Linked DNA regions of Cricetulus griseus. The protein of the gene in region 2 interacts with the protein of the main gene of each other region in a pairwise test. Links are inferred from orthologs where the notes say so. Each region holds a gene or a part of one and is shown on either strand. Other genes may lie near its edges.

Region 1 (7,705 bases), on a different chromosome or scaffold from region 2:
ACTGACTGATTGAGGTTGAAAGAGACAGGGACCATGGTGGAAGGAGAGGGAAGAGCCGGGAGGTAGGGGAGTTGGTAGGGATGAAGTGGGTGAGGGTAGGGGTCCATTCTTAGTAGCGTTTACAGTAAGAAATGAAGAGAGGACATTTAAAGTGGAGGGCTGTGAGGGCGGGGGAAGGGGCGGCGAGTGGGGCAGCCACGGGAGGATCACCTGCAGAATTCGGGATATGTCGCACGGCCGGGCCCCGCTGTGAGCTAGCTCTACGATCTTCTGCCTGGTGGAGTCCGGCAGTGGCCGCCCGTTGACAAAGACACCACCAAGCTGATTCACTCCGCTGTGACCTGAGGAAAGGAGGAGGAGAGGAGAGCAAGAAGAGAAGTAGAGGGAAGAGAGAAGAAGAAGAAGAGGAAGAGGAAGAAGAAGAAGAAGAAGAAGAAGAAGAAGAAGAAGAAGAAGAAGAAGAAGAAGAAGAAGAAGAAGAAGAAGAACAATGCAACCTCAGCTCCCTGCCAACCTGTGCGAACCTCAGCAATCAGGTCCTGGTTTAAAATTAAAACAACAACAACAACAACACAACAGGACCACCAGCCATGCAGGGCATTGGGTAGCCCAGCCTCAAATACAGACTGATCCTGCCCATTGACCTGTTGTCAGACTGGGGAAGATACTCAGGAACATATCCACCCAGTATCACCTTCACCTAACAGTTCCCTGAGCCCATTGCCCCCTTCATAAGCACTCCAGACCTGCTTGGAACCCATAAGAGGCAAACAACAGTTCTTAAAATCTTCTCCCTAAGCATCACCTCTAAGTGTCACCACAGAGTCCACACTGCAGTCTCGGCCCTGTTATAACAGCACAGCAAATCCCAAGCCTTGTAATGGCTGGGCGCAAAACGTCATAAAACCTTTGCATCGTGATTTAGCTCTGGCAGAGGCGCACAGCATATAGCTCTGTGTGTGTGTGTGTGTGTGTGTGTGTGTGTGTGTGTGTGTGTGTGTGTGTGTGTGTAGAGAAAATGACCCGAAAGATAAATGTGTAGCTAGCGAACCCCAATCCGTTCCTCCACACCAAACATAGGATTGGAAACCCCCATCCACATAGTGGTCTGCCTGCCCCAATTGGGGAGCAAAGCCTGGAGTCTTTGCACCGCTACTCGCTTCACTTCCACTGCTGAACTCCGCCCTCCCCCTCAGCCAAAGACGCAATATTAACTAACAGAAACCCAAAACAGAAAGAGAAAAGGACCACATCACAGTGTCACCCGTCCCTCCTTCAACTCTTATCTCACAACCTCAGCCCATTGTCTGGTCTTAGAGACTAGGGCGAGGAAGGAGCGCCTCCCTGAATTATCCTCCTCGGAAACAACAGCATACAAATAAAACCAGTCCCCTCTTGCCACTTCCTCAGACATCTCCAACCTGCAGCCCCGTTTCTAGACAGAAGCCCTCTCAGGAGAAGATGTGGTTCCCAGCTCCTCTCTTCTCTCCTCTCTTCTCTCTCTTCTCCTTGGAGCCTCCTGATAAATTGACTCCAAGAGCCTGTGCTTCTTAGCAATAAATAAGCTCCAAATATAGAAGAGGGGGGAAAATATGATGAGCCTCTCTGACATTTGTCTTTAAAATAAAACTAGCTGCACGTCAAGTTTGAGCTTAATTTCTGGAAATAGGCGGAAGTCGCTCCGGATCATGCATGGAAGGCTAATTGAAAAGATCAGTCGGGGCGCTTGTGGCAGCCTTGTCACTTTGTGACAGTGCTCCGCTCCGGGAAATTGCATCGTCACGACAAACGGGACCGTGATAAAACGACCCTTTCCGTCCCTATTTGTAGATCACTCAGACGAGAATGAACTGTACTCGTCTCCCCTTCGAGGGGAGCTGCGTTTTCTGGGTAGCCCGAGGCTTGGGGCTGGAGGGGGGTTATAGCTCACCGAGGGGGGGCGGGGCCTCAATTGGATGAGAAGTGACAGGCGTTTAGGGATCTGGGCTCCGGCCGGGCCGGGCCAGTGCAAGAGGGTACATTGCACATTGCAGGAGACAGGTCGCTTCTCCAACATAGCAAGGCCTACCCTGCGCTTCCGGTTTCTCTTTAATTTTCTTTATCGTCCACGTTGGTTTTCTAAGTCTCATTTACCATGCAATTTATGGAGGCCGGTCTCTGGGCAAACCTTCTCAAAAAGGAAAGGCCATCTCAGAGAAACTTTCCAAGCAGCAGCCAGGATAATTCCTAGTCTACAGATGCTAGAGCATACAAGGCCTCTAATCGTAGATTTTTTTTTCCTCCTCCTTTATTGCAAAAATAACGTGGCCAGTAAGTACCTCCACAGCTGCAGCCCGCATGTGCTGGTCCGAGAGACACTGGGCCAGGGTGCCTCTGCCAGCATCGAAATGGCAGCGAGGAAACATAGCTCTAAATTCCCCTTTAGAGGTTAAGCCTCAATCATTGTGTCCCTTCCCTAGGGACTGCTGGCGTTCTCGCCCAGTGGCGATGATTATGCGCCTAGAATTCGACCGCAAAGCTTCTAATAGGAAAACATATGGTGTCAATTTGGATGCTCTGCGCCTTGCGCACACTCGGGAACCAGCCACACAAAGCCTACAGGCCAACCCGCGACCCGTGCCCCTCTGGGCCTGCCAGCCAGGTCATGGTGGAGGGGCAAACGCTTGTGGCTGAGCGCCTCTGCCCACCTGAAAACCTAAGGCAAGAGAGTCAGAGCTCCATGGTATTCGCTTCGCCAAGGAAAGTGCCTCCTGGGCCAAGCCCTAGGATCTGACAGGTTCTGTAGAAACACAGCTGCAAAGCACCCATCTTTGATCTCTTTCCTGAGTTTAGCCCCCCCACCCCATCCTGTGGCATCATCAGGGCAGCCAGCTATTACAGAACGTGGACCCGAGCTGCTGGGAACTCTATTAAGCCAGTACAGCTCCATAACTGCATGTTTCTAGAAGACCTAGGCCTCTCTACACGCCCAAGCACAGTTGTATCCTTAAGCCTGTGTAGACTCCCTAACCCTAACCCGGCCTAGTTTCACTAGCTGCCAGGCTTGAATTTTTTTTTTTTTTTTTTTTTTTTGGCTTAACTCTGTCATATACCAGCAGCCATTGGCTAAGCAGAAAGGTTAGGCCCCAAAGGGCCTGGCCAAAGGTTAGAGAAAGGCACAAAGGCTGTGGAATCAAAGGTACTAAGAGACTGGATCAACGAGGACCCACGTAGCTGCACTTGCTAGTGCAAGGTTTTCCCAATTCCTGACCAGCCCCAATAAACCCTGCTTTCAACACCTTATGCGGGGCTGGGGGGGTCTCCCCATCACTGGCCCTGGGTGCTCCACTCCCCTTCCCTTTTAGGCCTATAGCTAGGGGGGGAAGGGGAGGGGAGGAGCTGGCCTAAGATTGACTAGGGGAGGGAAGGCCCCCCAACACACACACCCCTCAGGGTCGTAGGAGATGTTCAGTCTTGGCCAAGCCCAAAGGGGCCTCCTTCTCTTCTCAGGAGAAGCCTTTGCCCCGCCCTACTCAGCCCAGCCCCCCTCTCTGGGGTCAGAGCCCGGGCAGGGGCGGGGAGGGGGTATGAGTTACAGGATTTGGGGGGATGGGGTTTCTCCACCGCAGCTTCAAAAACTCGGGCCAGTAGTTTTGAAGAGCCCCAGCTTCTTCCCTTCTAGAGCACAGCAGAGCAAATGCCTCCCTACCCTCCCTCGCTGGCTACTTGGCACTCAACGCGTGCAGCCCAAATAAATTCCCCAGGCCTCCTCCCTCTCGCCCAGTGGCCTGGAGTCCCCAGGGCCCAAGACTCTGTGTACCCCCCTAACCGGTCGGCACGCCTCCAGCCCAAGAGTCCAGGGAAAGACCCGAGACACTCACTGTTCTGCATGCTGGCGCTGGTTGGCGGCCTCCGGGTCCCACGGGGCTCGAATGCGGGGCTCTGTTAGTAAGAAAATTGGAGTTAATCCCCGGCTTTGCACAGGTAGGCCTGCACTCCTACTGAGGAAGACCTGGTGGTGCCTGCACTGGAGATTCCTCCTTTTCTTAGAAATTGAGCTACTCAACCGCTTGGGGCGATCTGAGGGTCAGCTAGCCCTGTTCTCCTATGCATGCAAAATGTACTTTGGGAGCTACGGATAAAATAATCTAACATTCACAATCAGTTTCCTCAAATATTTTTGTTCTTAGCCTTTTAATCAGAACAAACGATGATCCCAGTTTTTTTTTTGGGGGGGGGGTCTACCAGAACTATGGTTTTTTAAAAAACTCTTTCAGAATGTGAAGCCCCAAACAGCATCATAGAACTTGCCTGAAAACTGAGATGTATGTCCACTCTTAGAATAGAAGATCTCACACATCTGCTCACCTCTAGTTAAAGTCTTCTGCCTGAGATAAAACAGAGGGAAAGAAAGGTATATGTCAGCTTGGCCCCAACACATAGGTTGACTGGTAGTCTGAGGCCCACTCTCAACCCACAGTGAATCCAGGGTTGGCTCCTTCTGCTTGGAAACACTAAGGCGTCACACTTGCAGTGGCCTCTCCTACAGACACCAACATCCTTCGGAAACGGTGCTTTGGCTAGGCTTGGTTGGGTGAATTGGGGAGACTAGAGTTGTGGTCTCGCTTTGCAAAACTAATAAGCACCAGGGAAAGAGGAGGGCTTAAATCCGAAAAGCCAAGAGTGGAGTAGAAACCGAACTGGGTAAGGAAAGCAACTAACCCCTGAAGTGTGGAGGTGAAAGGAATCTTAAGGTCTTGGTGGTGCCTGAGCGCCCGCTTGGGTTAGAGAAGTCTCGGGAGTGAGCCTCAGACCAGACTCCCTCCATTCCTAAGGAATTTCAGCACCTCAGTTGTCCCAAGATCCCTAGAACTTAAGTTCTTTGGTTAGTTACTCTTTTATCCTTCACTCCCCCCACCCTACCCCCAAAGTCTTCTGGTCAGACCCCCACAACCAATCTCTCAGCTCTTTCAGGACTTAGCAAGTGGTGAGCCCAACTTTTTACCCTAAACCTCATTTATTGTAATTAACTTTGCTTTTAGTGTTTAGCTCTTTCTCTCCTTTCCTGTACTGTGACACTTGCTGTCTACCTCGCCTCACTGCTTTAAAAACTACAAACAGGAGGGGGTGAACACGGTCTACAAAGTCTACAGACACCGAACAATGGCTTCTATTCCGCAGCTTTCCCCAAACCCAAAGAGCAAAGCTGAGACTCTCAAACCAGCAACACCAGGTCCAAGCAAAGGAACCACAACTCTCCAACTCACAAAGGGAAAAGATGGACTCTTCTCATTGAAGTCCTGACCCACTATAGTACCCTCCAATGCTTCCAACCTGCTCACCCTCCCTACCTTCCCGCAAAAAAAGAGGGTTCTTGGAAGAGAGGTGGAAAAATAGTAATTTCTTGTTATAAATATCTGGAGGTAATTGTGTTGCTGGTGTGAGTTGTTAGGGGCTGTAAAAAGATACAAGGGCACCGTGGGGAGCTCAATTGGGAAGGGAGAGTTACAATAAAGAGCCCATTCAAGAGGTTTGCCCAGGAAAAAGGGAGGGTTAAAATAATGAAATAGTCACAGCATCATTTTTGTTTTATTTTAAGAAATCATTCTTTTTCCTGTGTTGGACTGTGATGATGGTTAATTTTGCCACTCTACAAATAATTCCAAGAAATACATTTTTCTCTTCAAGACATTTTATGACCTAACTTTTAAATAACTGAGAGGCAGCCATAAAAATAAGTTCAGCATGGGGACTTTTTTTCAGTGTCTGATTATGACAGGACATACCAGAGAGCTAGGTACCCGAAACGAGGTTGGGTCTCCTAAAGCCTCCCTATCTCTAGGTCAGTTCCTGAATCCAAGATCATGTCATGAATGGAAATCCCACCCAGAACAAAATGTCCATCCTACCTACATATAGGACTTAAGCTGCAAAGGGTAGCAGGTGGATAGAGATGGGGCAGAATTCTGCTTGGAACAGCAAAACTTCCTGAGTGCCTCTCTAACCACATTTTACACAGCCTTATGTCCACATCCTGGCTGGGACCTCCACAATGCCATTTTAGAAAATTGTCTAGCTGGTCACTGAAAGAGCTAGCTGATTACTTTTCCAAGCAACAGGGAAGGTGATAGCATTTCAGGTTCCGGTTTTGCTTGGTTCCCACCCTCCTCTCCTCTAAGAAGCTATCTAATTACCTAAGTAATCGTTAACACTCAGTGCAAAAAGCACCCTGGGAAGCAGGGCACACCCCAAACCCGGAAGCAGTCCTGTTCTTAGAGAAGCTAGACCCCTTTGCCTTAGAGGGGACATAGACCTTTATCAGGAATGAAGAAGTCTCCAGAAATCTCCAAGGCTACAAGGTCTTGGTCCACAAGTCCACTGGACACCCACCCTCCCCACTCTCTGACCCCAACACAAGCCAGAGCTTTCACACTATGCAGTTGTTTTAATCATTTAGATTTCAAAATCTAACCCCATATTCCTTAGCTGAAGTGTTAGGAGAAACTTGGTTTCTCCCCTAGTGATTCCCCTCCTAGAAATTAGCAATTAAGATGACAACGTTTACTCTCCAGGGCCAAATGATAACAACGAATCAATTGCTTTCAAATATATGCAAAGATCACCAGCAACTCCTCAGTCAGTGAAAACAGTTATTCTTTCTCCGGTTAGCTTGCTAGGCTTTCACGCATTTTAGCTTTCCATTTCATTTTTCTGCTCCTATCTCCTTTTCAACCCTTCCCAAGTTCGAGTTTACCGTCCAAAATGGCTTAGAAGTGTGTGTGTGTGTGTGTGTGTGTGTGTGTGTGTGTGTGTGTGTGTGTGTGAGAGAGAGAGAGAGAGAGAGAGAGAGAGAGAGAGAGAGAGAGAGAGAGAGAGAACTCACTTTGTTTTTAAACTTTCCAGAAAGCATCATTAATGAAAGGCCAGGTTTCTTAGCACTCGAAAAAGAAAGCATTTCCACTTGAAATTCAACTCCATTTCCCTCAATTACACTTGCTAAAATTCGAGGCTATTATGGCGCAGGGAGACTGAGGAAATCTGCCCCGGAAAGAGGCAACAACTTTCTGAACTTTGAAAAGCCACTTCTCTCCTGGGGTCTTAGAATCCAAAAGCTCTCGAATTACTCAGACTAATTAGCTGGGGGAGGACGTGATCCGACGAGAGGGAAAGCCAATGCTTTCATATAGATTTTTTTTTCTTTAGGCCACACAAAGAAAAAAAATCAGTACACTTGAAAGGGAGGAGCAAACTACCTTTCTTGCTGGAAACTTGTTGAAATGGCAACACCGGGTACAACTTAGTCAATGGAAGACATGGGAAAATACCCACCAAGAACCGGAGGTGGGAGTCCACGGGGCAGGGAACACCCCAACTTTCGCAAGATAGAGTTGTGGGAAGCCAGGAGAGCCTAGGGTTTGCTCGCTTGCAAATCCAAGCTCCGCGCTTGAGTGAGGCTGGAGGCGAGGGCCCTGGGGCTGAATGGAAGCTGGCAGTCCTTGGGATCGGCTCGGAGCTCCCTCAGAGAGCGCATCCGACCGCCTCGGCCTAGTGGCTTCCTTCACCGCTGCCGCTCACTCTGGGTTTCTAGTGGCCTCCAGCGCGCCGCTGCGGTGCCCATCGAGTCGGCTCCGACTGGCGGCGGGCACGATGACCCTTTGGCGCTGGAGTGTCGCGGGCAGTTCTGTGCCCGAGAGGATCTTGCACAAAGCCGGAGCGCGGGCTGGCG
Region 2 (6,922 bases):
GAGGAAATGTGATTGATCATATGACTATTTTGTGAAGTACAATGTGACTGCTGTATGTTGGCTGGATTGGAGACAGGGACAGGTGAGCACATAAGAGGTTATAGAGTTAATTTAGGTGAAGCTGAGCCTAAACTGAGGAAGGGCTCATGGATGGTAAGGAGTGAACACACTGAGGAAGAACAGATCCAAGATCACTAGGACTCATTCAGAAAAGGGCTACAAGTAGTGGAAGAGGTGGAGTTGAGGACAGTCACACTAGGTTTCTTTCCACTTTGGATCTGCTCCATGGTCCACAAAGGACCAGGCATTAACAGTATGAGATGGGAGCAATCTGGGCTCCAGCTGAGACCTCCAGCTGGCCTCAAAGCTCAAATCCAGGCTAGGCTCATGGAGCTGAGGAATAGCATTGCTTCTGTCACAGGTCAGAACCTGGGCTAGACGGGAAACCTGAAGGCCAGTTTCCAACTCTCTCAGACAGAGGGTCACAGAAAGAGGAACTTTGGGCTCAGAAAGGACTAAACTTTGATATGGGAAAAGGAATCGGCACTCTTGAGTATGTCATATACAAAAGCCCAAGCCAGGACCTAAGGAACTAGAATGCCTGACATGATTTGGAAACAGGGGTCAGTGAAGGTAAGTGACTTGCCCAAGGTCACACAACTAGTTTGGTGGCGATGAGCTTAGATTCTAGGTCTACCTGGTTTCAAAGCCCATGCTCCTCCAACTTCTCAGTACATCTCAAAGGCACTGAGCCAGACTAGTGTTCCAAGTCCCTCAGAGTCTGAGCCCAGCTTCCCCCAGTATCCAGGCTGGCCTGGAGCGCAGGCAGGCTGTAAAAGATACCATTCACCATCTTATCCACTTCAAATCTAAAAAAATCAACTACTTAGAGGTAACAATTGTACCGTGCTTCATCCCCAAGTTTCTCATCAAGTCCCATGTGTGATCAGGGGATCAAGAACAGAGTGGGTGGCTTTGGTTCCCCAGTGGAGGAAGCAGAGGTAGTGGCAATGGCGGCGGCAGCAGAGACCCTAATTGGCACTTACCTTGCTGGAAGAGAGTGAGAGTGACGGAAGTGACCAGCAGGAAGAGGGCCTCTATTGGGGGAAAGTGGGCGGGCTCATGGGCAAAGATGTGGACCAGCTACAACAAAGGATGGAAGGGTGGTCAGCTGAGGTCCACCTCACAGGACAGATCAACATCCCTGGAACACAGGTGGGCAGGGACACCCCCCCACCCAGGGTCAGATCTCTAACTAGGGTGACATCCGGAGTACCAATTGCCCAAACCAGAAGGCCTACCTGCCGAGTGAGGTCAAGAGCAGAGGCCTGGGGGATGGTGCTATACATCCGACCCAGCATCTCACAGAGCTGTGGCACCATGGGGGCAAAGTCATCCAGCAGTGTCTTAACAGACTTTTCAAAGATGGCACACACTGCCTGAGGAAGAAAGCAAAGAGACCCTCGTCAGCAGGTCACAGGAGGGAGGACTAAGAAAAGGCCCTTACCCAGAAGTCTGGCAAAGCCCTTCAAACCAAGCAAGGTAAATAATCTATTCCTCAGCCTGAAAAGAAGGGGCAAAAGGCTCTCCACAGAGGAGCACAGACTCAGACTAGGTCATTTAACTCCTGTGACACGTGTCGATACCATTTCCTCTCAGGGGACAGTAAGAGCAACCGAAATCTCAACTCAAAAGGATACAAAGCCAGGTCTCTGGTGCTACAACAGACACCCTAAGTCACTAAGGCCCTAAGGTCACTATCGTTTCACCCAGCACTTCTGTGATACTGAGGTAGGTGTGTCAGGGTTGTAGTCTTCCTTCCTTATTCTCTCCAGACCACTACAAGAAGCATTGAGGCACCAAATCCTTTACTCTGGCTCATTTGGCCAAAATCAGCCTAGGGAGCAGAGAGGGTCAGGGCTCACCTCAACCACCTGGGCATCGTTCAGCCACTTGCTCAGCACCTTCTGGATGAGCTGGAAGACTTGCTGTAGCACGACCACCACCTAAACACACAGGGAGGAGTGAGGCACCACCTCTGCCATCCACCCAAGGACCTGGCAGGGGGCAAAGGGCTCAACCCATCACCCTGCACACTGAGATGTGGTACATAGGACCCTCGGGGCAAGAATTGGTTAACCCCCCCGGCAATGAAAGAGAATATTTTGAGTTGTAGGTCATTTTCAGAGGAAGACTCAGAACTTCAAAGCAGAGACATCCTAAGCTCTTGATAAAATTGAGATACCTTTGCAAACATAACAAAACAAAACAAAAACTCACTCTCTGTTTACTTCTGCTTAGAAATACCAAAGCAATGGGCTAGCCCCTGAGGAGGAAGAGATGCTGTCTCACCCAAGCAGGCGTGGGGTAGGGAGCCCCAAGGGATGCGTAGATACGGGCAGCTTATGGCAGAGCAGAGAGCAGGCTGAGGTCCTGGGAGATAGGGAAGGCAGGATGATGACTGCCACAGAAGAAAAGGGGGGCTCTGCGGGATGGTGGTGGCCCAGGCTTGGCCTCGAGCCCAAATGGTAACTGAAGCTGAGGTGTGGAGATGAACAGAGGCCAGTGTGTCCCTGGCTTCTTTTTTTCCAGGAGAAGGTCTGGGGCACGCAAGATCAATGACCAGAGCAGCCCCTGGTATTTGTTTAGAACTTTACAGTCTGACAACCTCTCTTACTTAAGACCCCTCAGCTCCAGGTCCTGCAAAGAGCAGATGAAGACCCCAGCAGCCACAGCTTTAAGAGGGAAACTGAGGCTTGTCCCAAATCAGACAGCTTATAAGAGGTCACTTCAAGGACTGGGGTGGAGCTTGGTGGCAGAATGCTTGCCTAGCATGTCCAGAGCCCTATGTTCAATCTCTAACACCATAAAAAGGAAACATCCAATTACAAATGCCTTTGATCCCAGGACTCTGGAGGGAGGCAGAGGCAGGAGGATCTCTGACTCAAGGGCGGTCTTATTTACATAGTAAGTTCCAGGCTACCAGGGCTACTTAGCAAGACTCTGTCTCAAAAGAAAATCAAAAGTGAAAAAGCAAAGAGGTCATCCCAAACCCATGCCTAAGTTATCATGGTGCTCAGCACTCAGCCCTGTAACAATCTCTTCTGTGCATCTCCTCTCAGTGGGGAGTAACTTGAGTGCCTGCAGCAGACAATGAATGCTCAAGTAGGAGGGCCTAAAGAGACAGGGTTAAACATTAGCTCATTACACAGCTCAATGGTACTGAAGGATAATGTCAGTGTCCCTTACTGGTGGGGCAAATAAACCTCAATGACATCACCCCAACTGGGCTGAAGACAAGGGAAACATCTAATACAGGATGAGGGATGCAATGACATGGCTACATATAAAGTGGTGGGCCAAAGGACCAAATGCATGACCTCTATGGGGTCAGGAAGCAATGCCAACGCTATCTACAGGGTTAGAGAGTGATAGACATTCCCACAAGGAAAGGGGAGTGGCAAAGACAATGTCACCTACTGGGTTGGGTCCCTGTGGCACTGGTAGCTTCCGGAGCTCAGGGCCTTCGTGATCATCCTCATGATGACTGACATCCAGTGTGGTGAAGAGATTGGAAAGAAGCCCCAAGATGTGGACAATGGCCAGTTTGTTGGAGGGATTCGGCTATGGGTAGAATAAAATCAAGCTTCAGACTTCTGAATCTCAGCCTAGGGGCCAGATCACTCAACACCGAGCCTGAGTGCCAATTCCAACATCCCCACGCCTACGCCCACAGAGAAACCCCTGGGTCCCAGTGCTGCCCCAGGTCCCCAGAGCTCACTCACTATCTCTTCTGCCAGCTTCTCCAGCTGTTGGATGTAGGGAGAGATGAGTGAGTGCAGGTTCTTCAGGATCTCCTCCACCTGCAGGGCTGACAGCAGGAAGCCCAGTGCCTGCATTAGCCACATGCACTGGCTTGTCTGTGGGGCAGAAAACAGGGATGGTCCACCTGACCACATCTTCTTGTGAGTAGAAAGGAGAATGAGCCTCTTGGGGAGGATTATAAGAACAAAGAATAAGAGGTGAAGTGGGGAGAAGGGAAAAGGGTAGGATTTAGGAATAAGCAATTCCCCACCAAAGATCCAAGGAGACCCCTAGAAAGCTTGAGCCGTACCTTGTGGATCTGCTTCATCAGCACATCCTGGGAGTAAAGAATAACATATTAGGGTGGAGCAGGGCACTCTGAGACCCAGCACCATCGGGGGCACCACATACCTGGGAGACAGCTACAATGTTGGCAGCATAGGGTGGCAGGTCATATTTGCACTCCCTGCAGATCTTTTTGAGGGTAGACACAGAAGACACAGATAGCTCAGGGTTGCCTAGGGCATGCAGCACAAGGGGCAGAACATTGTTGATCATGACGGGGTGGTCAGCCAACCATTCAGACAGAGCTCCTGGAGGAGAAGGGAAAGAGAAGGCTCTCTGAGGCAGGCAAGGCTTTAGGGATGGTTAAGTTACAGCCTCAGTGCATCCAGAGTGATCAGAGGACCGTGTGGGCATAAAGGCATTGACGCTCAAACATGACCCTCACCGCTGAAAAGCAGAAAGGGATTACTCAACAGAGGCCCAGCACTGCTGCTCCACTGACTGACAGCAAACTAGCATCACTGAGATGCAGCTCAGTGCACTGCAGAAAAGACTTGCCAGGACAGTTAGTTGGCTGCAATGTTGACTGTGTGGGGGGAGATGTATCTCTCTCAGTTTGGAGGGACCCAGCAGGCCAGCCATGCTTAGGTATGGGTGCTGTAGCTCTAAGAATGTGGTCGTGGATGTATGCCAGGTCTCACCAATGGTGAACATGACAGTATCTGCCAGCTGCACGTTGCTGATGCTGATCCGTGGGATGAGGCCAATGAGCCCGGGCACCACATCAGAATAGTTGACATCGATGGTCTCCGCGATGGATTGGAAGCCATAGAGCAGGGCCTCTGTGTGCTGGGGAAAGAGGGTGCCACTGGCTTGACTTAGGAGGAGGGTGTAGCAAGTTAGGGAGGGCAGAGGGAATCAGGTTTGGGAGGTACCTGCCAAGAGTAGGGCTCCTCTGAGCTGGTGAGCAAATGGCCCAGCTTGTCATAGAGGTTGCTAAGCAGCTCGGCCCCCAGCATCTCATAGACATACATGAGCGTGTCTGAAATGTCCACCCTGAAAAGCAGATGAAGGCCTGTTACACTGCTTGGGTCTTTAACATAAGCCAGGAACCTACCCAGGGACCCTCACAACCCTGCAAAATTGCCTAAAGGCTAGGAAAAGAAATCCCCAGAAGTCAGTAAGCTTGGCTGATTGCCTCTTCCCTTGTTTCATTACTTAAGACTGTTTAGAGTGAGGGTTGACTTGCTACCATCACCTGTAAATTCGGAACTGCTCCTTTTCATCTGAGGACCAGAATCCATATTCCTCATCGGAAGGGAACTGGGCTTTGCGCAAAAGCACATCCACCAGCTTGAAGTAGACTGGCCGGTACAGCTGCTGGTACACAGCCTGCTTCTCTGCCTCAAAGGACAGAATGTCATCCTGAGAGAGCCAGGGAAGACAGTCAGTCACCTCACCAGCAACCACAGAAGCATGGTCCACCTTCATGAAGGACCAGTCTGTCTGGTGGTCACACAGACATACCTGCAGTGTGTACCAGAAGGTGAGAGTGAGGGAGCTGGTGGTCTCATTGACAGGATAATGACCAGGAATGCCAGTGCAGAACATGATCATGTTGACGAGTTCCAGGAAGCTCCGCCAGTGCTCTACTTGGTCTAGCAAGGCCCTGGGGTGGGAGGAGAGTTATCTCACTAGACCTCCCCAATGAGGGTCCGTAACCTTAACCTTTAATGGACCCTGCCATCCCACCAGCAGCTGCCCCACTGCCTACCGAGAATGATTCTCGCCCAGGGCCACAGCAATGCGACAGATGCCATGGGAGGTCTCCATGTCCCCATTCTGAACTGCCTGTTCCAGTTGTTCCTCCAGTCCCAGAACCAGCGGAATGAGTTTCAGGAGTGTGTTCACATACCTAGAGGCATGAGGTAAGGTGACCCATCAGAGCTGTCTGCCCAACCCCACCAGCTTTGAGAGAGAGGCACAATTTCCCTGTCTTCTACCAAAGTCTTCCTATCAAAAAGAGGCCAACGCTGTTTTGATGCTGCTCATGCTGAGAACATTAGGTCAGATATCTTCGGGAGAGCTCTGGGAAGGAAGCACAAGAAAGTCTGAGATATAGGTTGAAGTACTTCCTCCAGCAGGACTGGAAGCTGATGCTGAGATGGGTTAGTGCTCAGAGGGAATTAGGGAGAAGAGAATGCATTTTTGTGTGAGGGTGGCATGAGCTTTGGAAGCCCAGAGTGCAGATTGTTATAGGTTGAAACGTACATCTCCTAACAAGGTATGCTGATGGGCTGGTGAGATAGTTCACCTCATATAATCACAAAGACGAGAATTTGATCCCCATAATATGTGCCAAAAAAGCTGGGTATACTTGTGATGCCAGCAGTGGGGAGATGGACAGGAGGATTCCAGAGGCTTGCTACTGGCCTGTCAGGCTAGCCTACTTGGTAATCTCTAGCCAGTAAGAGGTCCAGTCTCAAAACAGAAGTTATATGGCTCCTTAGAAACAACACCAAGACTGTTATGCACATACACAAAAAGATAATGTTGGCATCCTATCCCCCAGTACCTGAAAACGTGACCCTGCTTGGGAAAAGCATCGTTGTAGATAAAAACATACTAGAAGTGTACTCCTAATCCAGTATGACTCGTGTCCTTACAAGACAGCCATGCGATGACAGATGCGTCATGGGACAATGCCAAGTAAAGAGAAAGGTAAGCACTGGCACTTGCAGCTGCAAGCCAAGGAATGCAAAGCTGCCAGCCAACCACTAGGCAGGAGGCGGCTGGGAAGAAGTCTTCTATGGGTTTCAGCGGAAGCACAGTC
Region 3 (6,021 bases), on a different chromosome or scaffold from region 2:
TTACAGTTATCATCTGTGTGTTGGATGCTGACCTCTCGGAAGGCTGTTCTTGTGACGTCCCCACGTTACAGATAGAGAAACTGAGGCTCAGAGGTTTCCTTTCAATCTGTTTAGATGGTTGGTGGAGTCTGGCGGCAGGATTTAGTTTTTTTTAGGTTGACTGCTCCCCCTTGTGGCTAAAGAGATAACTGCAACCTGTTCGAGGTCCCCTATGGTCCCTCCTGCTTTTGGTTGATTCTGGTCACTCTCTCTCTCACCCTGTCATCCGCCATGGCAGCAGGGGGCTTGAATGCACCCACGATGTCATCATGGAAATTCTTGAAGGTAAAACCTGCCCTCTCCAGTAAGACCCAGGCCCTATCCCTACTCATTCCTGGCGTCTCAGTTTCGTTAGCAGGACTGATTGTCTGGGTAACATGCCAAGAAAATGTGGTGGAGGAAGAGAGTGGGAGTCCTGAACTTTGACCCCTTCCCTCAGCCAGCCCTGCTTATTATCCCCTGCGACTTGAGGGTGGTCAGGGAGGGGATCCTTGGGGACTCCAGAGTATGCTTGGGGAACTGGGAAAGAAAGCTGCTGTCCTAATTCCATCCACTGGAGATTGCTGGAGGCCTGTGTGGGTGGAAGTTCCTGAGCTAATCCCACAAGGAATGCAGGTCATCCTTCTCAATTTTGTCATGCAGCTCCTGTCTCCCAAAATCCTCTTCTGTTATGTTTCTATAATTTGCATGATCCCACCCATTTGCATTAAATTTGCACCTTATTTGCATGACTCTTCTTCAATCTCCCTTCCTTGAGCCAGTTTTCCTGAGAAATCCTCACTCAGTTAGTTCTCCATTCAAAGGCCAAGAAAACTTATGATCTGGGTAGGGCTCACAGGGACTGTGGGAGTCTCAAAGTGAGGTGGTCAACAGCTTTAGGATGATGCTGGCTTTTGCCAGGTCTGTGCAGGCAACACTCTTCTCCACCTGTTCGTGTGCTCAGCTCACCCAGAGAAGTTTCCAGAATCTGAAGTTTTTTCCATGCAGCTCAAGAGTAGCTGGGAAGGTGTTCAATCCAAGGCTGTGCACCCAAAGGGTATGAAGGGGACAGTGATCAGTGACAGTGACCACTGCCTTCAGCAGCCCTGCACCTCAGCTGGGGTGTCTCCTAAGGTACCTTCCTCTATGGTGTTGCTCAGCTGTGAACAAGAATGAGGCTCTGGGAATTGGAAGGATATCTCAGTAGTTACGAACACTGGCTGAAGCCAGGTGGGGCAGTGGTGGCGCACATCTTTGATCCCAGCACTCATGGGGCAGAGGCAGGTGGATCTCTGAGTTCAAGGCCAGCCCGGTCTCCAGAGTGAGTTCCAGGACAGCCAGGACTACACATAGAAACCGTGTCTGCAACCCCCCCCAAAAAAATTAAAAAGACACTCTGATCCATTCTACAATGCAGCAAAACTAAAAAATACCAGTGACAGGGCTAGATATAGACGGCCACGTGGAGTGTGTGGCTCACTGACACTTAATAGCAGGTGAGTCCAGGTGAGTGGCTACCAGGCGTTGGGGAAGTGGGTGGGGAGACACTGGCATCCTTTGGTGGATGACAGTGTTCTGTCACTACAGGTGACAGCTGAAAGCCACTTCTCAGCCCCCAGAATCAGCAGGGTCACATGTGCAGATAAGTGGCAGAGTGCAGCTGCCTGGGTCCCAGAGACAGGATGGTTCCCATTTGCCATGGGCTTTTCCCAGGATGTTGTCACTGTTGTGATGGTGGCTGACAGGGTGGGGTCAGGGCCACGGGGATACTGGTAGGTGGCTCTCAGATGAAGGCTGAGAGGAGGCCCCTTAGCTGCCGCTGAGGGGACAAGGCCTCACATGGTGGGAACGCGGCCTCACAGCCCCTTTTAGCTGAAACAAATACTGAACCAGTTCCGAATCAAAGCAGGGGCCAGGAGGGTTAGAGCTGGTGACGGAATCTAGGTTGTCACCTATCACCCAGACAAGCCTGGAGTGAAAACACTGGAATGCAGACAAGTCAAACACTTTAATAAGGTGCTCAGAACAAAGCCCTAGATGAACAATCCACTGTCAACCAACATACTGTTGTTTAAAAATCACTCCAAGGTAGGTACGTAAGTGGCCAGGAAAAGGGTATTGCCACAGCCAGGGTTTCTGAGGTAATTGGCAGGACACAGGGCCAGTCATCCATGGCACTCAACCAGGTACCCAAAACTTAATTAGACACATCTGAGTTGAAGCTTCCAGAGTCTCCAGCAGGTGATGAGGGTGGCTGTGGGGCGGTGGCTCTCTGCCAGCTGCTGTGGGTCTGGAAAGACAGAGTGTGAACATAGGTGATCAGCCAGTCCCTGTGTCCCCAGGGTTACTCACAACTTTCTAGCAGATGAGTCTCAGAAAGAGCTGGCTGAGCAGTGGGGTGAAGGGGGCTACTGAGCCCCTAACCCTCCATGAAATACCTAACAGTGTGTCAGAACCAAGAGTCTAGCCACAGTGGCCTATGGAACAGCCATGGCTCATGGACAAGAGCCCTTCCTCACAGGCAGCCTCCTTCCTGTCTGTAGTGTGCATGGGCACAGTGCACATTGGAGCTGCTCTGCCCATCTGTCTGAGGACAGCTGGACGAGCGTGCTGAGCTCAGGGAACACTTGTACCAAGCAGAGCAGTGTGGCTGAGGTTCTATGAGTGAGGCCATGCAGGCATGCGCAGAAGCACCCACGTAACGGACAGTGGCCATGCAGGCAGAGTGACCTTTAAGAAGAGCCAGGTGAACAGAGGGACAGAAATGTTGGCTTGGAAATCTCAGCCCTCAGGAGAAAGAGGCAGGAGGCCTCTGTGAATTTGAGGCTAGCCTGGTCTACATAGTGAGTTCCAGGACAGCCAGGGCTACATAGAGACCCTGTCTCAAAAAAGCAAACAAGCAAACAAACAAAAAAAGGGTTTGTTTGGATCACATTTTAGCTGAAAATTAATGGAGGTGCAGGTGGGGTGCCTGCAGGGTGTGGCATCACCCCAGGTCTGACCCTCCATCTGCTCTGTGCTGTCCAGGGCAGGCAGCCTGTTGCCTCCCTCCAGTTTCTCCCCTACCCCTGCTGGTTCTGTTCCAGAGCACCTCAGCTCCAGGTATGTGAGAAGCAGGCCCAGACTACTTTGCAGCCTGTAGATTGTGTCAGGCTGGGTCTCACAGTGATGGCAGGCAGGGCCAGAGTGAGCCAGGCCCACCACTGTCCTGAGCCCCAGGTCTGGTTCAGAGGGGGCTTCTGGGAATCCCATGGGACTCATGGGGCCATGGCCAGTGCCACCATGCCAGGCTTCATTCTGTTTATGCAGTGCCCTCACAGGCCTTTCAGAGGAGGCTCAGGACAGACTGGGAGGTCACAGGACCTACAAAGGATTCAGATGATACCCTGAGAAATCTCTAGAGGTAGCTTGGCTGTTTAGACCCCAGTGACGAAACCCCAGTCTGGCAGCTGCTGCCCTTTCAGGGTGAGACGCCCTCTCCCATGTCTCCAGTCCCCAGTGACAGATGGCTCTGAGTCCAGAGGCTAACCACTCTCCTTCTCTGGAGACTCAGCATCAGGGTTCCTCTACTTTCCCAAAGCCCTAGAGGGGTCCCTAGGTGGCTGCAGCTGACTCACCGGGGGCTGGAGGCAGACTCCCCCAGGTGGGGGCTGGAGGAAGGCCAGGGTCCGAAGGGTGAGAACCATGTCACCTCCACTGGTCAGGGGGAAGGGGCCACAGGAACCTGTGAGGAGTGGGTGGAGTCAGGTTGGCATGGTGGGGGTGGAGGGTGTGAGTCACTGCAGAAGCTGGGCCAGCAGTCACAGGGATTTCTGGGTGGCAACTGCCCAGTCCCTCATTAAAAGGGACTCTAGAGCTGACTCCCTAAAGCATGTAGCCACCTGCTCTTCCCCTAGCCCTGTGTGGGTGACGCTGGCCCGTGAGGCTAAGGTGATGCTCTTGTCCCTCTGCTGGCACTGGCTGTCTAGGTCCGGGTAGTGTGAGTCAACCAAACCCCCAAAGCTTACAATTATGGAGGCCATGGCCTTGTCACCTGGGCTGGGTGTGGACTGGCAGCTGCTCTGGCCCCCTGAACCCCGGACTTTGGTGGCCGTAGATGTCTTCTCAGTGTACATGGTGGCCTCTTCCTGGAACTTCCCCGTGTTCTTTTTGTATCGGATTCTCTTGTTGCCGAACCAGTTAGAGACCTGTGGACAGATGCACAGACAATGGATGCAGTCCTGGTGTGGGCATGCTTGCTAGGTGGTGGTGGCACACTCCTTCCAGGCAGAGGCAGGGTGATCTCTGTGAGTTCCAGGCCAGCCTGGTCTACAGGGTGAGATCCAGGACAGCCAGGGCTACACAGAGAAACCCTGTCTCGGAAAAAAACAAAACAAAAAAACAAAAACCCAAAACAAAACAAAACAAAAAAAGAGGATGGGACTGCAGAGAAGGCTTACTAGATAAAGGGGCTTGCTGCCAAGTCTGTGGCCCGAATTCAATTCCTAGGAGCCACATGGAGGAAGTAGAGAAACACGTTGTCTTCTGATTTCCACATTCCTTCAGTGACAGGCACCACACACAGTGATAGGGACATGGATTAATGCATGGAGTGTGCACACACACACAAATAAGAAATACATAAATATAAAACATAAATACATAAATATAAAAAATAACCACCACTAAAATAAAAGACACTGGGCTTGATGGCTCACACCTGCTACCCTAGAGTGGGGGGCTGAAGCAGGAGGATTACTGTGAACTCAAGGTCATGCTGGGCAACACAGTAAGTTCCAGGTCAGCCTGAGCTAGGTGAGACCTGGCTTAAAACCCCACCTAACCTAACTGAAAAAAACAGGAAGAAGGCCCCAAAAACTCTGGCTCTCTGTTCTGCAAGGAGGGCAGCCACCTTCCTTGCAGACCTGGATGATGCTGAGGCCACTCTCCACCAGGCGTGTGTACTACTCTGAGATTTTTCCATTTTATGTGCATGGGTGCTCTGCCTGTGTGTGTGTGTGTGTGTGTGTGTGTGTGTGTGGTGTGTGTGTGTGTGTGTGTGTGTGTGTGTGTAGCATGTGCATGTCTGGTGCCCCTAGAGATGGAAGAGGGCACTGGGTGCCTGGGCCTAGACTTAAAGATAGTTGAGAGCTGCCATGTTGCCATCGGTCTCTCCAGCCCCACTTCACTACCACGGCTTTCTGTTCCCCCACTCCCTCTTCCTTTCCTTCACTCTTCTTCCTCCTTCTCTTCTTTTCCCAGACAGGGTTTCTCTGTGTAGCTCTGGCTGGCCTTGAACTCACAGAGCTCCGCCTGCCTCTGCCTCCAGAGCGCTGGGATTAAAGGCTGCATCACCAGGCCCAGCCCCAAGTTTCTCTTTCAAGATGAGGATCTGGCTGTTGCCCAGCTCCACTGGGATGCCTAGTTCCAGTACTTTCCTGCACAGCTGGGACACGGGCTACTTCCTGTGCATTGCCCCGGACAAGAGCAGAGTTTGTGTGTGGATGATGTGTCCAGGTTTGGACAGTGCTGAGTGGGAACCCAGGACACAGGGAGACCCCACCTCACTGCAGGTGGGGCTCTGGCATCAGTTCTAGGGTAGGGTCTGGCTCACTGGGACCCCTTTGGAGCCCCACCCTTCCCTCAGCCTGATGTGGGGCTGATCGTGACCCTGGCATCAACAGAAAGAAGTGCCTCCTACCCTACAGTGTTTCCTTCCTCTTGACTTCCCCTGAGGTGGCCCTCACAGCCTACTCACCTGCACCCCAAATTCAGAACCTCACTTCATTCAACTAATAGCTGACCACTTTAGTGGATGAGACAAGGTAGGGTGGAGCCGCTAACATAGAACTCAGTTGTTGCTGGGGATGGCCTCAGGGCCCAGATCACCCAAAAGGAGAGCCCTTGGAATGTGGCAAGGCCTTTAAAACTTGTTGACCTTGCTCCCTGGAGGACCTGGCATCAGAAACAGGGGGTCAGGGGTAAGGGTGTGGGGGGTAGGTGTAGGGGAAGCTGTAGCCACGC

The links.
Region 1: the proteins of Ipo13 (region 2) and Pax6 interact in a two-hybrid assay, tested with the Homo sapiens proteins (2 studies listed by BioGRID and IntAct). The link is inferred for Cricetulus griseus from reciprocal best matches to the Homo sapiens genes IPO13 and PAX6.
Region 3: the proteins of Ipo13 (region 2) and Pbx4 interact in binary tests that used the Homo sapiens proteins (3 or more experiments, as listed by UniProt). The link is inferred for Cricetulus griseus from reciprocal best matches to the Homo sapiens genes IPO13 and PBX4.

What each region holds. Positions count from the first base shown.
Region 1 is NC_048599.1:72,003,046-72,010,750, forward strand, and holds the start of Pax6 (paired box protein Pax-6), read right to left. Parts: upstream 3,871-7,705; coding exon 3,861-3,870; intron 342-3,860; coding exon 124-341; intron 1-123. UniProt on the Homo sapiens protein: Transcription factor with important functions in the development of the eye, nose, central nervous system and pancreas. Required for the differentiation of pancreatic islet alpha cells.
Region 2 is NC_048595.1:34,417,658-34,424,579, reverse strand, and holds part of Ipo13 (importin-13), read right to left. Parts: intron 6,005-6,922; coding exon 5,864-6,004; intron 5,759-5,863; coding exon 5,617-5,758; intron 5,515-5,616; coding exon 5,348-5,514; intron 5,146-5,347; coding exon 5,025-5,145; intron 4,939-5,024; coding exon 4,791-4,938; intron 4,398-4,790; coding exon 4,216-4,397; intron 4,142-4,215; coding exon 4,115-4,141; intron 3,921-4,114; coding exon 3,786-3,920; intron 3,625-3,785; coding exon 3,481-3,624; intron 2,007-3,480; coding exon 1,926-2,006; intron 1,440-1,925; coding exon 1,302-1,439; intron 1,144-1,301; coding exon 1,047-1,143; intron 1-1,046. UniProt on the Homo sapiens protein: Functions in nuclear protein import as nuclear transport receptor. Serves as receptor for nuclear localization signals (NLS) in cargo substrates.
Region 3 is NW_023276806.1:249,104,357-249,110,377, forward strand, and holds the end of Pbx4 (pre-B-cell leukemia transcription factor 4), read right to left. Parts: intron 4,206-6,021; coding exon 4,052-4,205; coding exon of another isoform or gene 4,026-4,051; intron 3,743-4,025; coding exon 3,636-3,742; intron 2,309-3,635; coding exon 2,216-2,308; 3' UTR 2,008-2,215; downstream 1-2,007.